2 linked regions of the Arabidopsis thaliana genome follow. The protein of the gene in region 2 purifies or fractionates together with the protein of the main gene of each other region. This does not show direct contact. Each region holds a gene or a part of one and is shown on either strand. Other genes may lie near its edges. The genes, in order: ATCS and HMGS.

Evidence for each region.
Region 1: the proteins of HMGS (region 2) and ATCS fractionate together in Arabidopsis thaliana (co-fractionation; one large-scale study listed by BioGRID). This does not show direct contact.

What each region holds. Positions count from the first base shown.
Region 1 is NC_003071.7:18,314,269-18,321,310, reverse strand, and holds ATCS (Citrate synthase family protein), read right to left. Parts: upstream 5,034-7,042; 5' UTR 4,919-5,033; intron 4,892-4,918; exon of another isoform or gene 4,729-4,891; intron 4,656-4,728; 5' UTR 4,639-4,655; coding exon 4,588-4,638; intron 4,490-4,587; coding exon 4,424-4,489; intron 4,278-4,423; coding exon 4,236-4,277; intron 4,055-4,235; coding exon 3,989-4,054; intron 3,897-3,988; coding exon 3,831-3,896; intron 3,709-3,830; coding exon 3,595-3,708; intron 3,487-3,594; coding exon 3,423-3,486; intron 3,246-3,422; coding exon 3,163-3,245; intron 3,035-3,162; coding exon 2,985-3,034; intron 2,906-2,984; coding exon 2,828-2,905; intron 2,684-2,827; coding exon 2,555-2,683; intron 2,421-2,554; coding exon 2,378-2,420; intron 2,287-2,377; coding exon 2,200-2,286; intron 2,033-2,199; coding exon 1,931-2,032; intron 1,583-1,930; coding exon 1,475-1,582; intron 1,384-1,474; coding exon 1,333-1,383; intron 1,186-1,332; coding exon 1,112-1,185; intron 1,035-1,111; and 5 more. Other genes in the region: AT2G44360 (ecotropic viral integration site protein), read left to right, coding at 25-132, 217-456; AT2G44340 (VQ motif-containing protein), read right to left, coding at 6,466-7,032.
Region 2 is NC_003075.7:7,108,311-7,114,009, forward strand, and holds HMGS (hydroxymethylglutaryl-CoA synthase / HMG-CoA synthase / 3-hydroxy-3-methylglutaryl coenzyme A synthase), read right to left. Parts: upstream 3,794-5,699; 5' UTR 3,592-3,793; coding exon 3,529-3,591; intron 3,504-3,528; exon of another isoform or gene 3,119-3,503; intron 3,006-3,118; coding exon 2,899-3,005; intron 2,788-2,898; coding exon 2,655-2,787; intron 2,573-2,654; coding exon 2,429-2,572; intron 2,340-2,428; coding exon 2,181-2,339; intron 2,100-2,180; coding exon 2,026-2,099; intron 1,950-2,025; coding exon 1,874-1,949; intron 1,795-1,873; coding exon 1,739-1,794; intron 1,656-1,738; coding exon 1,568-1,655; intron 1,487-1,567; coding exon 1,346-1,486; intron 1,251-1,345; coding exon 1,101-1,250; intron 1,009-1,100; coding exon 814-1,008; 3' UTR 574-813; downstream 1-573. Other genes in the region: AT4G11810 (Major Facilitator Superfamily with SPX (SYG1/Pho81/XPR1) domain-containing protein), read left to right, coding at 1-140.

The sequences.
Region 1 (7,042 bases), on a different chromosome or scaffold from region 2:
CTACTGATGATTTTTGTTTCTTAGGTAGAATCATTGACAAATACAGAAGAGGTTGAGCTACGTTCTAAGATTGAAGCTCTTGGTTTAGAAGTCACTAAAGTGCCATCAAAGTCTGCTCAACACCTCAATGAGGTCTGTATCCTGTGTTCACTCATATATCTGGTACACATTGTAATGTAAATCTGAGGCTTTGTGTGTGATTGTTTGTGTTTTCAGGTGGAGATAGCTAAGGAATTGGACAAGTTATCAGCAAAGTTAGATGATGTGGATGAGATGATATCATCAGCTATAGCTTCTGATCCACAGGTTCAGACGCTTCTTAGCGGCACAGCTGATGTTTGGATGCCGGTTATCACTGCCGGCGCCGAAGAGAGACTCAACTTCACAGCCTCTCTTGCTGATGATGATGACCTTTCTAACAAGGAGACTACTACCGACAATACCAGCAGCTCTTAATCCCATTTTCTTTTTGATAAACTCATGTCGAAGTTTTCTATTTTGCAGTCTTGTTTCTTTTATGTATATCAAAACCAAGATAAGCTTTAATTCATGAGTGATATTGATGTTTGATTTTTACGCAAACTGAATACAACTGTTTATTTATTATCACGAGTTTCCCGGAAATGCAAATTTGCACCAAGCATGTGTTTCTCAGGAACAATTTCTACATGAACAAATGTTTCTTCTGTCAATAGAAGGTAAAAACAAAAAAAGCTATCCAGTGTGGAAGAGAATGACTTTTGTTGAAACACGAGAGAGTGCGACAACTCAGGACTCGGTGGTGACTTAAGCAGATGAAGCTTTCTTACAATGGGCTTCAAGCCAGTCCATGGTAACACTCTTTGGCCTCTCAAGTGCAAGTCCAAGAGCTCGGTCCCATATAAGCTGTGAATTAAACACAAATGAGAATGGAGAGCATATGAGTTCTGTTTTAAATGTTATGTAGTAACAAAGGCGTAATGTGTAAATATATATATGTTACCTGAGAGCAGATGCCAAGACTCCTTGAAACACCAAAGAGCACGGTGTAGTACCTATAAAACGCACAGATATTATATTTGAGTGCTATCCTAAGGCTCAATGATACTTGAAGGAGGTGTCTACTTCTTACCTTGCTTCGGTTAGACCATAGTGGTTCAGCAAGACCCCACTGTGAGCATCAACATTTGGCCACGGGTTCTTCACCTGTAACAAGCCATCATCGGATTCGCAAGTAAATAAAAAATTGATTCGCAAGAGATTCATAAGCCCCTAGCATGTAGGTAAGGTGTTGTGGAGTTGTTGGTGGAATATTGAAGGATCACCATGGTAAACGAAGGATAGAGATACTACCTTTCCAAGCTCAGTGAGAACAGGAGGCACAACTTCATAAAGCTTTGACACCTACAGAGTTGGAAGGATTTTGTTAGCTACTGAACATTGATAGAATTTTGAGAACCGAACAGAAAAGAGAAAAGAGAAAGAAAAAAAGTACCAGCTGGAAAAGAGGGTCGTCAGGTAGATGCTTCAAGGCAAATTCTCTTTGGCATACATATCTTGGATCAGTATTGCGCAGAACACCGTGACCATATCCCGGAATAACCTAGAGACAAAACAAGACTCGTCAATAGATCATCATTAGACTATCCTTGTAACATTACATCCACAAGGTAAACTAGGATAGGGAAAAACAGGATCCAAAGCTCTTATGGCAGTATTACTTACTAGGAGCAGTTAGAGCAACTGACCAAACTATGAGGTCGTAAATAAGAGGACCCATAACAGTATCACACAATAAATTGAAATATTAGCCTATTATGATGACTAGTAGACAAGATGTTAATTCATTTTCGCATGCTCCATCAGTCTTGTTGGCTGGCTTCAAAAGTGGGATTCAGGTACAAGACCAGAAAGTAAAGAATGTCAAGGCAGAGGAATTTCCTGTTTTTACCTTGCCACTGTTTAATGTTTTCCAAACATATTCTTTCAACTGTTCTTTTGATATATCTTCTCCACATTCCTCTACGACTGATTTGATCCAAAGCAAAACTTCCTGTTGAAACAATAATAAAAAAAGACTAAGAATTTGTTTTCTCCAATTTATGGTTGTATCATCAAACTATCACAACCTACCTAGATAAAATACAAAAAGCCACTTACGAAGCTCTATTGTAGATTGAAGATTTAAGACTTATTCAAGATATAGACAAGGGAGGATACCTGATTAGCCAAACCATGGAGTGGCCCAGCTAAACCATTTAATGCAGCTGCAAATGACAGATATGGGTCTGAAAGTGCACTACCAACCTACATGAACAAGAATTTTTAGCAAAAGAACCATTAGAAACTTCAGGTAGGTCAATCCTTTAAAATTGACACATGGAGAGTATATACATACCAGGTGACCAGTGTGAGCACTAACATTTCCACCTTCATGATCACTAGAGCAAAAAATAGTAGAAAAGCAAAATGTTATACAAAGGTCTATTTAAAGTCTTAAAAAGAACAAACAAATTTACAAGATAATTAAGCTTATTTAAGGAGACATGCATGGGTGACGAAAATTAATACAGACCTGTGGATGGTGATGTAAAGCCTCATGAGCTCTTTCACCTTTTCATCATCAAATCCCAACATGTGGGAAAAATTTGCACCATAATCCAAAGATTTATCTGAGGGAATGGAATCACCATTCTTATACATCCTGCAATGATGCATGGAAAAGGTCAACAGTCAATACAAAGCAAAAACAAGAGATGGCAAATTTTCCAATAAAAAAAAAATCATTGCCGAAAATCCAGAAGCTACAAGAAACATGAAAAAGAGTACAAAAAGAGTCTTCACTAACCTTCGATAAACATATGCAGCTACAACAGGAACACGAGCAATCAGGTTGAGGCAATCCTCATATGTTGGCTCCCAGAACCTGGAAGAAAAAATCTTTGTTATGATGCCAGCTAATATGAAACGCTATCATGAACTAAATCAGAACCCCAAAAGCATACTTTGACTTATGAATTCCATTCTCATATGCCTTTTGAAACTCACTTTGCACCTGGATATTAGGTAAAGAAAATTATCATTCTGCTGAAAATTGTTTACTTATAGCCAAAAAAAACAATAAGTTTCCAACGCTTATCACAAGAAGAACAGAAACAACAATACGAGTTTAGAGAACCACACCTGGAGGGCCATAACACCGCTAGCAAATTGAGTCATTGGATGAGCTGTGGAAGGCAGAGCATCGATGGCATTGTACACATAATCTGTATAAAAATTGGATACAAGTTAAGAATGAATGAAAGTATAACACAAAACCCACAAATTTATTTCATTTCTGTTAAGCAATTTCTTGTAAGCATTGATGTCAAACAAGTTTGAATGAGCCAATAAACAGACTCCTTTATTTGCAACAGCCAGAGCGAAAAAGGTAATATCCAAACCTGGCACAGCAGCACGGTTCGCCAAGTCTTTCGACAGTGCTTCAACTTGCTCTTTGCTAGGTACCTATACGAAAAAGGGTAAAAAAGGATATCATAAGATAATCTATTGAGGAAAACTAATCGACTGGACATATCCAGAACCAACTTATAATAATGTACAGAAGAGCCACACCTTTCCAGTTAAGAGAAGCCACAAAAGACCCTCCGGTAATGGTTCAGCTCCAGACTGGGCAGTAGGTAATACTTTCTGGCACTCAGGAATCGACAATCCCCTAAAGCGAATACCCTGAAATAATGATAAGATAATTGCATCAACAGCCTTAGAACAGGAAGGAGGAGCATTTGATATATTCTATATCTAGGATCTAACCAAGCTATTGTAACTATATACAGAGAGTTATACAGTACCTCTTCCGGGTCAAGCAATGAGGTTTCCCAAAGCAATCCAGTCATCCCTCTCATTCCACCAATAACCTTTATTTCAAAGGGGATTATGATGAGTTATGCAATGGAAGGTGAAAATCATATAAACAAACCAAAAACGTGAAAATCATGATTGTTTCTACCATATCAACAGTGATGTTTCCCAGTTGGACCTTCCCATGTTCTGACTTCAGTTTCTTCAGACGGTCCTGAAATTGGAAAATTCTTGTGAGAAAAGAGGAAACTAGAAAAGCAAAGAGATTCACTACAACTAGCCTGCCTTCTTAACTTAACAATCTCAGCTAACATAACAAATAATACACACATTCAATGAAAAAAAAAAGTCAACAACACAAATTTTCATTTAAAGCAAACAGAGTCTAATCTAACCTGCTGTTCCGGAATTAACTCTTGCAGCTGCGACTTCAGGTCCTGCATTGCCACCATTTAAACAAAATGAACAAAGACCCCACAAGCAGCAGATCCCAAACCAATATTAAACTTACATATGATCATGATCATGAAAACTACATGATCACGATCACACACGAAAGTACGAAGCAACGGAGATGATTTACCAGGTCGGTAGAGCTCTGCATCTGAATCCATCTGACAGAATTGCTGAGTGAAGATTGTTGGCCCTGCTTACATAGATTCGATCACCAATCAATCGATTAGCATGAACCAGCGAGATCAAACGAGAACAAACACAAAACTGGAAACAAAATTTTCAAATACTTACGACGCGAGACCTCAGCCTAGTAAAGGCCGATACGCTGCGGAAAAACACCATTCTCCAAAACTCAAAACCTGTGACAGACAGTATCCACCCAATTCTCAAAACAAATCGATCCGTGAAAAAACTCAAGCAATCAACACTCACCAAAATCAGAAACAAACAAAAAAAGTTTTATCGCCGAATCAAATAATTCAACAAAACTCAGAGATTCGATCAGCGGAATTCACCGGCGAATTCAGATTCCAGAAGAAGAGAAAAACAGGACTAGATTCTCCGAAAATTATGGAAGACCAAAAGGAAATGAGAAACACTATGAAGAAGCGAAGAAACATACCAGAGATTCGAGAGCTTCACGGAGATCGAGAAAAAAAAAAGCGATTGTTGAAAAAAATACTAAAAGCTGCGTCTGCGTGTGATGTACAAAATCAATCGGCGAAAGGTGAGCAAATGACATTTGTATATAGCTGGAGCAGGTTTATTACTAAATTCCAATTTTGACCTTCGAGTACTTTGAGAAGGCAAACCAAACTAAACCGGTATTGGAGAAAATAACCTTTAGGCGTATTATTCCGGTTTTATGAATCTCAAAAACAATTTCGGTGTACCGGTGTGGTTATTTTCGGCAATTGTTGATAATCATCATTTATTTCCTTTGCCTTATTTACGGTATTGTTGATAATCATCATTTATTTTTGGTTTAAGAAATCATACTAATATTTATGTGAGCTTTTCAAGCAGCCGGAACGTTTCCAAATCTAGAAAAGTCAGGTTTGAAATTGTCCTTTACAATGTTTTCATCCAATATTATGCAACCAAAACCGATTTAGACTAAAACAAATAATCCCAATGCCTGAAAAAGTAGACTAATTAATAAGTATAACATGTGCAGAACCTTACAAAATAAGATAAAATAAATGTTGACGTTCGAGAACTTTGAGAAGGTAAACCAAACTAAACCAAAACACAGAAGCAAGGGAGTAAACCGTAATCATATACCTTTTCGTTCTTTTGGAAACCAGACCGAATAATTTGGCTTTATATGAAAAGGTCAACGGACACTAAAATCTCAAAACAATTTTGGTGTACCGTTACGGCTATATTCGGTTCGGATCAATTTTCTTTGCATTTTGTTGATAGGTTATATCATTTTGTTTTACTTTATTTTGATAAAAGGGTTAATATTACTCACTGTTGAAAATGATATATTATACACGTACATCAAATATGAAAACACGTTATTTATTTTAGTTGAAGTACTACATGTATAATAAATATCATTTTCAACATTTGTAACAAAAGATTAGTAAACAATAATAATAAAAAAAATAATTTAGCTTGAGCCAGAATATTCTTGTTAACTTACAGTTTAATTTAATTAGTGTAACTGTACTTTAACCGAATAACCGTTATGTAAGTATCGATATTCAATATACACAATCAATCAGAGTATCTATATCGAAAACAAGTCGATCCTTGTTCTAATTCCATACAAACTTTTTCCCCAAAATTAAAGTACAGCAATCATCACATTTATCTGCACACCAAAGAATTAATACACATCCAATAATAGCACATCAATGAAGTTACATAATAAAACTAGGGCTTTTTTGACCGACCACATCTTAATTAGATACAGCCACTTCTCCTAGAAGGGCTGCACGTAGATTAAACTCTCTTCATCACAACTCTCAACCTTGGCAAAGTCAGTCCCGCCAAAAGTTTATGTCTCTCATCATACCCATTTGTTATATCTATATACAACTTCTATGCCTTTTTTCTCCCACAAAATATGACCTTATCGTTGCGATTAGATCTCATCTCACCAAATGCGATTTGCAGAATCAATAAGATTGAAAACCCTAGAAATTAATCTGTTATTAATTAAGACGAATTATGAGCCTTTGTATCGAAGTTGGTGTTGTTGTTGTTGTTGTTGTTGTTGTTGTTGTTGTTGTTGTTGTTGTTGTTGAAGATGAAACCTTCGACTTGTGAAGAAGAAGAGGATCTCATGGGAAACGAAGAGAAGTAATCTTCTCCGACATCTTGAATTAAACCTTCTAGATCAAAGTACGTGTTTGTGTTCGAAGTACTCTGATCACCTGATCCCCACTCTTCTTTCACCTGGTGGTTTCCTCCGTTTGCTAGTAAACCGGTGAAACCCGAAAGCCTGTTGACCGGCTGATGATCATCGCAAACCGGTTCTTGGGGAGTCGTAATTCTTGATTTGGCTCTCTTTTTACCGGTTTTGGCTTCTCCCGGTGCCGGTTTCCCGGTTAGACTCTGGACGAGTGAACGAAAGTTCTTGACGTCGGTCTTGATGACCTCCGGTGCAAATATATGGATTATGCGAATCTTGGGTTTGATCTTGGATATTACTTGTGAATTCCTGTTCATGGAAACCCTAGAACTCGAACCTTCATGAAAACTTTGATATTGAGTAATCTCCATTGAAGAAACT
Region 2 (5,699 bases):
GTGTGATAGCGGATGCGACGATCACTTTGGCTGGTTTCTTGGGACAGAGTATGCTTTTGAATGTTACTCTGCTTCCTTCTTTGATCATCTGTGTTTTGTCTATCCTAGCTACTTGTTATACTTATAACTCCTTGTATTAGTGCCCCATAGGAATCCAGCTTTTGAGATTATTAAGCTAACTCCTAGGTTCCATTGTTTCTCTTTTCTTTTGGCTTTTACTTTGATCTCTTAGTGAAAGTTTTGTTTGCTATCTATCTATGTTTATTCTAGAACCGTTAATGATAATTATATATTTATCTGATTATAAGAGCAAAGTAATATTTGGTGAAGCTGTTGAATGTGGAAATATGGAGAAAGATTTAATCTCATTCTTCAACACATTGCTAGATGTGACATTAGTTCATGCAACAAACTATCTCAGCTTTCTTCAAGGTCACCTTCTAGACTGCGATTTGCCGTTGTTCGACTCTCGGTGAGTTCTAGATCGGATCCTATCCTACTTTCACCTTCATGCAACTAGTCCAATAAGATCGGAGTTGTGCCTTGACTCATTCACCTTAAGGTTGGTTTACTGTGGCTTTTAGTAACCCTTATGGACTTAGTTAAGAACACAAACATACAAAATAGAGATTCCAATAATTTCCAAATTATCATTTGCATGAGAGAGTAAATCAAACAGTAAATAAAAACAGAGAATACATTCCTTCTTTGTCCCTAAATCAAAGTAACAACAAACTTATAAAACGATTAAAATGGTGCAAGTAAAACATAACATTTTCAGGTGACTTTTTATGATTTGTTCCTTTTCAAGAATCAGTGTCCATTGGCTACAGATCCATCTTCACCTTTCTTGCCATAGAATCTCCGGTACAAGGAATCAACCTCTTTCAGATAATAAGTTCCCGGTGCCAAAAGATCTATAATACCCTCCTTGGTTGTCACAAAGTCCTTTGCTCCATACCTATGTTCCATTAGCTTCATTGTCTCCACAAACTTCTCAGGTGCATACTGCAACAAAACAAAGCCCCAAGTCAGAGATCAATGATACACGATTCATTTCTTCCATATTGAAACTAAAATCACTTCTTGTGTTATGTTACCTCATGTCTAGCTTTCAATTTACCGCCAACATCCATTACAGATGCAATGTTTGAAATGCTGAAAGGAGGCTTATTGTCGTTGAGGCGTAATGAGAACATTGTTGCGGTTGAGCCACTTCCATAAGAGAACATAACCACCCGCTTTCCCGCCTAAATCAACCATACACATGTGTAACAAACTTCAAACCAAATGTAAATGGAGTTCAATATAGCCAGAAGAAGTAAAGTTTGTTTTCTTTTATTACCAAATCATTGTGTTTCTTGTGGATGAGGGAAGCAAATGCAGCGTAGAGAGAAGCAGTGTACATGTTACCGACTTCCTTTGGTATTAAAGTCGTTGGTTGCACTTTAGCATCATAAAACGGTTTCGCAATTTGTTGTGACACCTGCAAAAGAGACAACAGATTGAGCTATAAATCGGTTTTCTCTCAGTATCAAAAGCAAAAGAAAAGAGAAATGATGAGAACCTTTTCAAGATCACGGCTTTGGTAACTCTCGTCAAGGGTCAAAGATGAATAAGGGGTGAACTTTTCTTTGGCAGCCTCGTCAATGGAGCTGCAATAGAGGAAAGAAAATGTTCACTCACATTTAACAAGTAAAGAACTTTCAATCTGAAAACGTAGTTAATAAGCAAGAACCTTGCGTTTCTCAAGAAGTCGTTGTACAAGAGACGAGCAAAGCTTTTCTGTACAAGCTGCAATATCATAGAGGAGAAGACTGGTAAGAGACAATTCAACTAGAACAAAACTATTGTTGGAGGATTAAGAAATTACTTTATTGTATGGAGAATGGAAAACAATGTAATCAGCATCATTTATGGAGAACTCTTTGCCCTCGATCTTCTCGAACCTAATAAAAACCAAAGAGTCACACAACAACAGAAGAAAGAAACTGAGTTTTTGTAACTGTGAAAAGAAACACTTACTTGTTGCATAAATGTTTATAGCAGGAGTCAAGAGCCATGAGGTAGCAAGTCTGTGAAAGCTTACCATCAACAACCTACAAGTACACAAGAAACAATAACATATAAGACTTTGATTCTCTGTTCGAAATACTTAATATCATGCATTGAAGAGTTACCGGGTACTCGCTAGCAAGATTGGGCTTGTAAAAGTCATAGACATGAGCCATGTGGCTTGCTCTCAATTTGCTTTCGAAAACGATAGGAGCATCAGGTCCTATCAACATAGCAATCGCTGCAGCTCCTCCAGTGGGCCTTGCGGGTCCTTCTGCATAAACCTGAAAGCATACAAAATATAAACAAGTCAAGAATTATGCAAAGACTCTTAGGCATAACAAAAAAAACATTTCCATGTAAGATGTTATACCGCGCTGTCAGTACAAATGACGAGGCCATAACGTCCATCCCAAGAGTTACTCTCAACCCAATTGACACAGTTTAACAAAGCTGCAGTTCCACCATAGCAAGCATTGGTCGAGTCAACACCTTCGACATCAGTGTTTCCACATTTCTGTTCATTCCCAACATACAAAGAAACATGAGCGGTCCACGTATTTACAATAGCAATCCAGGTCAAAAGAAAGTACGAATACCTCAAAGAGCTGCATCAAGAAGGTCTTGATGGACTTGCTTTTGTCAATAACAGTCTCACTTCCTACTTCAAGACGCCCGATTTGGTTAGGGTCAATCTTATACTTCTCAAAAAGTGATGTCACCGCATTGAAACTAAAAAAACACAACCAAGAAATAGATCAATTCAGTCTTTTCATGAGTTTATGATACATATGCAAACAAAAAACAATTAGCCATTACTGAAAAGAGACAGAAAACAAATACCTCATAGAGATAACATCTTCAAGCTCAGTGCAAAAAGCTAAACAATCTTGGCCAAGTCCAATAGTGTATTTCCCTTTACTTGCTCCATCATGTGCTTCCAAAGCTTCCTATATAACCAAAAAATGATCAACAAGATCAGATTCACAAAATTGTACCTTTTTCAGTTTTTCCAATTGAGACTTATACGATAAATCTCAGTATAAAAAAAAACCCTTTCAACCTTTCAAAGTCCTCATTTCAATCAGATGCAGAGATCTCGAGTTTGAGAATAGAGAAATTTAATAAAAATCCTTTTGTTTCTTAAATGAAAATTAAAAATTGAGCATTTTCTGTCTTCATCGGATACAAAACTCCGCCGCCATTACAGAGAAGAAAGAACAAAAAAACAGAGACAATGAAACAAGTGTTCGTGTGTGTGTCTAATCTAACGAGATTTTCTTGGATTGATTCTCAAAGCCCTGTTCGTAAAATCTCATAAAGTTTGAAGATTTATGAAACCAAACGTCAAAAATGGAGAATTAAAACGGTACACAAAACAGAAAGATGCTCTGATAAAAACAGAGTATCAAATGCAATAGCTCCAATAATAAACAGAGAGAATAAAAAAAAAAAAGCTTGGAGTTTTGTTACCTGTTGAACACAGGTGGGAGGGAAATAGATATCCATAGCCAAAATCCCAACGTTCTTCGCCATTGTTTCGATGAAAACGAAAGAACTCTGAAGAGACTGAAATCGAAAGGTTCGATCTTTGAGAAGAGAGGAGAAGAGAGAGAGATTTATGAAGAAGCTGTAGAGGAAGAAGAAGAAAGATATGAATCGGTTGATGATGAAAACTCAATTTGTTTTTAATAAACAAGTCCACGAGAAAAATTAGCAGATTTTCTTTCTTTATTTTTTATTTTCCTAATAAAAAAATTTAATTTATAATTAGTTGTGAATTTTTTTTAAATTTGGTCAACAAAATACTTGTACAGTTGTTCTTCATTTTTTTAGTTATAAATTTTAAATTTCAAATTTGATGGTTTTGTTTAAACTAACTGAAACATGCCAGATATATTTATTGGTGGAATCAATACTTAATTATAAAATTTTTGGTGTGTAATTAAAGAAACTTTTTGGTTCAAAATTAACCTATTTTATATTTTTCTGGGGACAACTACATGTGAACAAACAAAAAAGCCTACCAAAAAAAAAACAAGAACAAAAAAAAAAAAAGGTGTCAAATAATAATTACCTGGAAAATGGATATGTTGTGACTTGTGAGAGATTGGTGCAGTCCGGAATCTGGACAACGCAGACTTCGTGAGTTAGCTCTCCCTCGTGCTTCTTTTTGTTTCCTTTTTTACCCTTTTCTTATTCGTTAATTTACCAATTCGCTACTCCTAAATTTTGGTTTTGGTTTTCTTGTTATGGTTTTTGGTTTGGTTTATGTTTTGGATTCAATTGGTTTGTTGATAAGTATGATAGAGTAGCTTTCTGATGTAACTTGGTGAGATAACTTGGAGTTAAGTTCAATCTATTTGGAATTAAGGATTGTTTTTGAATAAATAAAATGGATAAAAAAGTATTAAAGATAATTAAAAAATATAGTATAAATTACTTTTTTTTTTTGGTAGAAATATAGTATAATTTTACTTATAAGTCTGTATTTGAATTTCTTTTCGTTGCTTTTTATCTTTTCTTTTTTGTTTCATATTTAAGAAATCATAAATTAGAAAGAGAAAAATAGATTTAAATTATAGTTTAATTTTGTTAGGAACTTCAACTTTCATTTAAATAAAAAAAGATTTTGTAAAAGAAAAAGAATATGATTTAAAGAAGGAGATTAATTAATACACTCATTTTCCATACGATTAGATATGTTTTTGTTTTCTTCTCTTAATTAAATACACTCATTTTTCATGCGATTAGAAATATTGATTTCTTCTAAAAAAATAGAAGTAATTTAAGATATGATATTCGGTAAATTAAATGGAAAAAGATTTTGTAAAAAAAAAAGAATATGATTTAAAGAAGAGGATTAATTAATACACTCATTTTCCATGCGATTAGATATGTTTTTTTTTCTCTCTTAATTAAATACACTCATTTTACATGCGATTAGAAATATTGATTTTTTCTGAAAAAATAGAAGTAATTTAAGATATGATATTCGGTAAATTAAACCTACGACCTGGTGGATTGCTAATGTGTCCGATACCATTAATTGATTAGATTAACTCCGAACCAACTCAACACCATGAAAAAGTCATGAGTTATACATTAATTCACACTATCAATAAACTTCCTTAACTAATTTTGTTTTTTATATTCTAACACTAGTATTGATTCTCTTTGTAATCTAGTTTATTAATAGGGAGATTTTGAAATGTTATAGTCCTCAACAACATGAAAAGTGGAAACATCACGTAAAAACAAAATATTATTAACAACAAAAAAAACTCAACCAAAAAATTAAATAAATAAAACTTAAGTTTTATAGATTAGTGGTTCCCATTTTAGGTGTAAATTGTTTTATGTAAGTGTAGGACAGAGATCGATTCCTTTCAGATAATTCGAAAAATTTATACATGATACAGTAATATTTTGGTGATTAGCTGTTAACTAGATCAGACAGAACATGGTGTGATTTGGAATCAATGAGTTTGGACTTTGAAACATGTGAAAACATTGTCGTTTTCCTAAAGCTAACAACAATCTCCCTAAGACCTTGGAATCTCCGCCACCGTCCGATTGAGATCTCATTATCATCCTGACCGTCCGACTTGGTTACTAAAAATGGTCAAACATCATTAAAGAAT